Linked DNA regions of Macaca fascicularis. The protein of the gene in region 1 purifies or fractionates together with the protein of each later gene. This does not show direct contact. Links are inferred from orthologs where the notes say so. Each region holds a gene or a part of one and is shown in the gene's direction. Other genes may lie near its edges.

The links. Proteins that work in one complex are often made in the same cells at the same time.
Region 2: the proteins of MAP3K14 (region 1) and CAD purify together in Homo sapiens (affinity purification with mass spectrometry; 3 studies listed by BioGRID and IntAct, with this or other methods). This does not show direct contact. The link is inferred for Macaca fascicularis from reciprocal best matches to the Homo sapiens genes MAP3K14 and CAD.

Annotation. Positions count from the first base shown.
Region 1 is NC_088390.1:66,340,530-66,344,178, reverse strand, and holds part of MAP3K14 (mitogen-activated protein kinase kinase kinase 14), read left to right. Parts: intron 1-1,072; coding exon 1,073-1,142; intron 1,143-2,994; coding exon 2,995-3,205; intron 3,206-3,313; coding exon 3,314-3,649.
Region 2 is NC_088387.1:94,986,300-94,989,948, reverse strand, and holds part of CAD (multifunctional protein CAD), read left to right. Parts: coding exon 1-74; intron 75-246; coding exon 247-471; intron 472-560; coding exon 561-743; intron 744-942; coding exon 943-1,161; intron 1,162-1,427; coding exon 1,428-1,595; intron 1,596-2,182; coding exon 2,183-2,365; intron 2,366-2,473; coding exon 2,474-2,578; intron 2,579-3,227; coding exon 3,228-3,467; intron 3,468-3,649. UniProt on the Homo sapiens protein: Multifunctional protein that encodes the first 3 enzymatic activities of the de novo pyrimidine pathway: carbamoylphosphate synthetase (CPSase; EC 6.3.5.5), aspartate transcarbamylase (ATCase; EC 2.1.3.2) and dihydroorotase (DHOase; EC 3.5.2.3).

The DNA of each region.
Region 1 (3,649 bases):
ACACAACCAGAGGTCTATGCCAAGAATCATGGAACGTGGGGTTGTAAAAGTGCACAGATGGTGAATGTGGCAAGGGGAGGCTGTGTCCATCATGACTGGAGCAGGGGAAGAGAGGTAACAGACAGCGCTCGGGACTCTGCAGAATCATCGAGCAGGCCATCAGCCTTCTGCTGTGACCTTGAGCAGCCCGAGTATCTGGAGAGGCTCCAGACAGGAAAGGCCAGGTCTCCTGGAAAGCCCCACTGGGGCCTGTGGGGCCTTCACCATCTTCCACCTAGAGATGGCCCCACCCCCCGGAATGAGCACCGTGCTCTTGAGCCTGCTGGGCCAGTCCTGGGGCGGCAGGCCATGGCAGGGTGAGGCCTGGTCTGGTCCTTTCTGCTTCTACTTATGATACCTTATGATGACTAGTAATGGTGGCTTCCCTTGGAGACAGAAACTCCCATGAGGCCTGGGTAGGGCCAGGAGTCCTTTCTCTCCAACACCTTCCCTCAACTCAGTAGGCTTCTTGGGGTGGAACCTGCAGAGCTAGACAGCCGTGCTGGCGTTTCTCCACACGCACACATCCTGCCCTTGTCTCCCACTTCCTCCTGGTTGGTTTTTGAGGAGACATGAGAGAATAAAAACTAAAATGCAGTGAGTGACATAATTTTAAAAAAAAATACACACACATATATCCACACTTATATGTACATACGCATATAAATACCTAATAGCTGGTATTTACTGAGCTGTTTTTCCTATGAGCCAGGCACTGTGTTGAGCGTTTTCTGTAGATCATCTCACTTCAGCTTCACAGGACGTGAGGCAGGCACCCTATGATCCCCATATTATAGGCATGGCTATTTCAGAGCAGGTGGCTGAGGCCATGGTCTGCTCCTGACCATAAGCTGAGAAGCTGGGGAGACAGTGCGGGAAGGAGGCATTGGTGGGGAGGTGACTGCCAGACAGCGGTTGTCTGGAATGGAGGGGAAGGAGAGGCGCCAGAGGGGATCTCTGCAGAATGTCTCTCCCCTAAGTGCTGAATTCCTATTTTTTCTCCTCTCTGCTAATCTAACTCCTTTTGCTTTAGGTGAGAATAGCCAGGAGTTCAGCCCCACCTTTTCAGAACGCATTTTCATCGCTGGGTCCAAACAGTACAGGTAAGCAGGGGAGACAAGCCTGAGTGGGAAGGCGGGGACTGGACCCAGCGTCCTCGTCCCCAGCGCTTGCCTGGGCCGCTCCTGCTGACCCCGGGCTCCCTCCCTCAGCACCTGTGGTTCAGCTCCTGGAACTCGCCCAGGCTTTCCTGGCTGAGCCGCTCTCTCAGCCAAATAAGCTTTTCAAAAGGCTTTTCACAGCTTGTGGCTGACTGCCTCTGGGACACATCAACTTGACGTTTTATTTTTATTCTCCTCAGAGTCCTTAATGCACCTCCTCGTTTCCCATCAACAGGGAGGGTACTGGGAACAGAAGCTGCTTCCCACTCTTGCGTGACTGTGAGCGCAGTTCGGGTTGGTCAGGGGGCCTTCTACTGTCCTCTATGTGAGAAACCTGCTGGTGCCTTTTCTCCTGGGAGATGCACCAAGTAGGGATGCGGGCGGTAGAAAAGGAGGGGACAGATAGACTTGGTGGCCCAGTAGAAAGGAAGCCAGGGTGGGGCTCAGTCTGTTCCCAGGTTCTGCATTCCCCCACAGATGATTTTTTGAAACGAGTTCAAGTGCCGGGCGTGATGGCTCTCGCCTGTAATCCCAGCACTTTGGGAGGCTGAGGCGGGTGGATCACGAGGTCAGGAGATCGAGACCATCCTGACCAACATGGTGAAACTCCATCTCTACTAAAAATACAAAAATTAGCTGGGCATGATAGTGCATGCCTGTAATCTGAGCTACTTGGGAGGCTGAGGGAGGAGAATCGCTTGAATCCGGGAGTTGGAGGTTGCAGTGAGCCGAGATCACACCACTGCACTCCAGCCTGGTGACAGAGTGAGATTCCGTCTGGGAAAAAAAAAACAAAAAAAAAAAGAGTTCAAGCTCCCTCCCCTATCACCAGGCAGGTTTTTGTATCACTGGAGTTTGGAACCTGCTAGTGATAAGATTGTGGGGAGGGCAGCTGCCTTGGAACCAAGAAAGGCTTAGAATTTGGTGGGATTCCTTCTGCTGTCCTGGGTGCCTTTTGGCCCAGAGTAGGAGCCTTTGATAGACATACTTCTTTCAGCTGTCCAAGAGAAGCCTGTAGGCTTCCAGTGGTCCCCAGGACTACCATGAGTCTGCCTCCTCTGTGGGGACAGAAGATGAGGCCAAGGGAGGGTGGCTGAGGCCATGATCTCCTCCACAGCTGTTGCAGCAACCCATCTGTTGCCAGGTCCTTTCATACTTGGCAGGGACCCCAGTCCAATTAGAGCCATGGCAGTGATGAGCCCCGAGGCCAGCAGAGAAGGGCAGGCTCCCCGGTACCAGGCAGCAGCCCAGGGTGTCACCTTCAGCAGCAGCCAGGGACCCCCAGGAACCGTGAGAGTGGAGGTGACCAGCCTTATCTGTTCCTCCATCCGGAGGCAACAGAAACAAGCTCTGCTCAATCAGAGCTGAGAGGCCTGCCATGAGCCTGGCCCCCTCCTGGGAACTCTCCAGGGGCAGCTGACCTTGGAGAGCAGTGAGCAAACCGTGTCTCCTCCCCCAGCTCTCCCCAAGAAGTGCTGAGTCTGTACCCCATCACCATAGTAACAAGCACAGCTTCTTGGCAACTTGCCTTGGGGCCAGACACTGAGCTGGGCTTTTTAAATGAACTAAATTATTGAAACCTCATTTCCACCCTGCATGGCAGAAAATACCAAACCCATTTTATAAGTGAGAAAACTGAGGTTCCTTGGGATTTAGAAACTTGGCCGCATTCACACAAGTAATGGCAAGCTGGGATTTGACCTTGGATCTGCAGGAGTCCAGATACAAGTGTCTGGGCCATTGCCTCTTCCTGCCTCCTTGTGCTCAATATGCAAATCTGTCCCTTTTTTGACAGCCAGTCTGAGAGTCTTGATCAGATCCCCAACAATGTGGCCCATGCTACCGAAGGCAAAATGGCCCGTGTGTGTTGGAAGGGAAAGCGTCGTAGCAAAGCCCGGAAGAAACGGAAGAAGAAGAGCTCAAAGTCCCTGGCTCATGCAGGAGTGGCCTTGGCCAAACCCCTCCCCAGGACCCCTGAGCAGGAGAGCTGCACCATCCCAGTGCAGGTGAGACCCTCCACCCACTGCCCAGACCGCAGGTTCATGGGGCCTTGGAATTGGAGCCTGTGCCTTGGCCCTGGCCCTCTGTGCTGACAGCTGTGTTTCTCCCCACAGGAGGATGAGTCTCCACTCGGCGCCCCATATGTGAGAAACACCCCGCAGTTCACCAAGCCTCTGAAGGAACCAGGCCTTGGTCAACTCTGTTTTAAGCAGCTTGGCGAGGGCCTGCGACCAGCTCTGCCTCGATCGGAACTCCACAAACTGATCAGCCCCTTGCAATGTCTGAACCATGTGTGGAAACTGCACCACCCCCAGGACGGAGGCCCCCTGCCCCTGCCCACGCACCCCTTCCCCTATAGCAGACTGCCTCATCCCTTCCCATTCCACCCTCTCCAGCCCTGGAAACCTCACCCTCTAGAGTCCTTCCTGGGCAAACTGGCCTGTGTAGAC
Region 2 (3,649 bases), on another chromosome or scaffold:
ACTATAACCCAGAGACAGTCAGCACCGACTATGACATGTGTGATCGACTCTACTTTGATGAGATCTCTTTTGAGGTGAGGGGGAATGGGGGCTTCCTGGTAGCTTGGGTGGCCAGGGTCGAGTCGAACAGCTGGCTGACCTAAGATTCTTTTAAACTTGGTGGGGGCTGAGGGAAGCAGTGAGCAGGAAGGCTCAGATTCCTGCCCTCTTTTGCTGCCACCGCTTGTTTCTTCCCCTGCACTGTAGGTGGTGATGGACATCTATGAGCTCGAGAACCCTGAAGGTGTGATCCTATCCATGGGTGGACAGCTGCCCAACAACATGGCCATGGCGTTGCATCGGCAGCAGTGCCGGGTGCTGGGTACCTCCCCTGAAGCCATCGACTCAGCTGAGAACCGTTTCAAGTTTTCCCGGCTCCTTGACACCATTGGTATCAGCCAGCCTCAGTGGAGGGAGCTCAGTGACCTCGAGGTGGGCTGGGACCTGGTGGGATACCTGGAGGCTGGATGATTCTTGGGGGTGAGTGTGAACAACCCAGCTAAGCTCCCTGCCTCCTGTAGTCTGCTCGCCAGTTCTGCCAGACCGTGGGGTACCCCTGTGTGGTGCGCCCCTCCTATGTGCTGAGTGGTGCTGCTATGAATGTGGCCTACACGGATGGGGACCTGGAGCGCTTTCTGAGCAGCGCAGCAGCCGTCTCCAAAGAGCATCCTGTGGTCATCTCCAAGTTCATCCAGGAGGCTAAGGTGGGAGGCTGCAGACAGCGAAGTCTCTCAGGGCATGCTGCCAGCCCTGGAGGAGACTTCCTTCTCTGGTCCAGCAGAATCATAGGCACCAGGGCTGGGAACAGTGGGCTCTGTGGGGCTTGGTAAAGGAAGAGACAATCCTAGAGTAAGTGGGAGAAGAAAGTGGCCGTACATCACACTGTCTGTGTCCCCCCACCAGGAGATTGACGTGGATGCTGTGGCCTCTGATGGTGTGGTGGCAGCCATCGCCATCTCTGAGCATGTGGAGAATGCAGGTGTGCATTCAGGTGATGCCACGCTGGTGACCCCCCCACAAGATATCACTGCCAAAACCCTGGAGCGGATCAAAGCCATTGTGCATGCTGTGGGCCAGGAGCTACAGGTCACAGGACCCTTCAATCTGCAGCTCATTGCCAAGGTAATAAGGCTAAAGGAAAGAATTAAAGGGCCACAGTGCCATGAAACCCTGTACTGTCTCCTACCTTCATCTAAGTAGGCAGGGAAGCTTGAGGGAAGGGGCTATAGCTGGAGCTAATGGTGTTGGGGCTTATGACAGTTAGTCACCCTGAACCCTGCTCAGTCTGATTCCCCCAGAGACTGGTGACTGAGAGGAAGAGTCTAGGCCTATAGATAGTGTCAGCAAGGCCATCCTGCAGAAGGCCTGACCAGTCTTCTCTGCCCCAGGATGACCAGCTGAAAGTTATTGAATGCAACGTACGGGTCTCTCGCTCATTCCCCTTCGTTTCCAAGACACTGGGCGTGGACCTAGTAGCGTTGGCCACGCGGGTCATCATGGGGGAAGAAGTGGAACCTGTGGGGCTAATGACTGGTTCTGGAGTCGTGGGAGTAAAGGTAAGGAATATTGAAACCCTTGGGGTTAGCAGAAGAATAGCGGGAGAGAGGTCACTCACCACACAGAGCTGTCAATCAGCATGTAAACCAGGCACCGACTGCAAGGCGTTGCCGGATCATGGGGGTAATGAGGTGGTCATTGTCCCTTAGGAGCTTACTTTATGGTAATAGGAGGGAAGAGAAGTTGCATCCCCAAAAAAACTTTGGTATAGAACAGGCTGTGATAAAACTACATATTCGACCTATAAACAGAATGCTGCAGGAGTTCAGAGACAGGAGGTGCTGCTTCCAAAACGGGTGATCTGGGAAGACTTGAGAGAAGGGGTGCTATTTGAATTGAGTTTTGAAGGATGGTTAAGGTTTTTTATTTGCAGAGCTTGTAAGGTTTTTTATTTGCAAGGGCACATCCTAAGCAGAACCTGAGGGACAACCCCAAGTATGTTTGGAAAGCAGTAGGGCACACAGAGAGGGCAAGCTGACCCTGCCATTCAGATGAGCTCAAGAACAGGGGACCGTGTCCGTCTCTGCTGGTGAGGGAGGAGGTCCCCTCACACCTTGGCCCTCTCTCTTCCCTCCTGCTCCTTTAGGTGCCTCAGTTCTCCTTCTCCCGCTTGGCGGGTGCTGACGTGGTGTTGGGTGTGGAAATGACCAGTACTGGCGAGGTAGCCGGCTTTGGGGAGAGCCGCTGCGAGGCATACCTCAAGGCCATGCTAAGCACTGGCTTTAAGATCCCCAAGAAGAATATCCTGCTGACCATTGGCAGCTATAAGGTACCAGAATCCATGTGGACTTCCTGAGGGCCGTGGCTCCCCGAGCCAGGGCTGACTTTGAAATGGAAGACAGGAAGAAAACAATTTCATCCTTCTGTTTGGTTTCAGAACAAAAGTGAGCTACTCCCAACTGTGCGACTACTGGAGAGCCTGGGCTACAGCCTCTATGCCAGTCTCGGCACAGCTGACTTCTACACTGAGCATGGAGTCAAGGTACAGGAACTCTGGCAACGTACCCCACTGTTGCCCTTCCCCAAGGGGGTGAAAATACTGCACCAAAGAATTATCTGGGCTGAGCATGGTGGCATATGCCTGTAGTCCCAGATACTCAGGAGGTTAAGGCAGGAGACTTTCTTGAGCCCAGGAGGTAGAGGCTGCAGTGAGCTGTGAGTGTGCAGTGAATGCACCATTGCACTCCAGCCTGGGAAACAGTGAGATGCTGTCTCAAAAAAAAAAAAAAAAAAAAAAAAAGGATTATCTCCTATTCCCCTGCTTTTATTATTACCATTATACTAATAAGCTATATTCCATGTAGAAAGCAGAATACACAGGAAGCAAAGAGAAAAGTCTCTTATAGTCTCTCTACCACTATTCTGATATTTTTCCTTCCAGAATTTTCTGTGTACATATGTGTGAGCTCATATTGCACCTAGTCCTTGGTAACCTATTTACTTAGTGTAGATATCTTTCCCGTTAAGAAATATACTTTGCCAATATCAAATAGTGGCAGCCCTCGGTCCCCACCCTATGGATCCTCAGTCTCCTCATCATGGGCTCCTCGGCCAGCTCCTCTCCCTGAAGGTTAGCTTTCCTGACCCCTGCCAGGCTCAGCTTGGCCTTGACCTTGACTCCTGGTTGGCAGGTAACAGCTGTGGACTGGCACTTTGAGGAGGCTGTGGATGGTGAGTGCCCACCACAGCGGAGCATCCTGGAGCAGCTAGCTGAGAAAAACTTTGAGCTGGTGATTAACCTGTCCATGCGTGGAGCTGGGGGCCGGCGTCTGTCTTCCTTTGTCACCAAGGGCTACCGCACCCGGCGCTTGGCCGCTGACTTCTCTGTGCCCCTAATCATCGATATCAAGTGCACCAAACTCTTCGTGGAGGTAACTTAGACCCACGTGCTGGGAGGGAGAGACTGCCGGTGTTGACGGAGGAGTGAGTATGGAACAGTCATGCTAGTAATAAAGCTTCGTGGCTACAGAGGGAGAGACGGTGGGTATAGAGAGTACAGAGCCTGGTTTATGGGAAAACCTACGTCTCTCCCTACAACTCCCAGAATCACCCT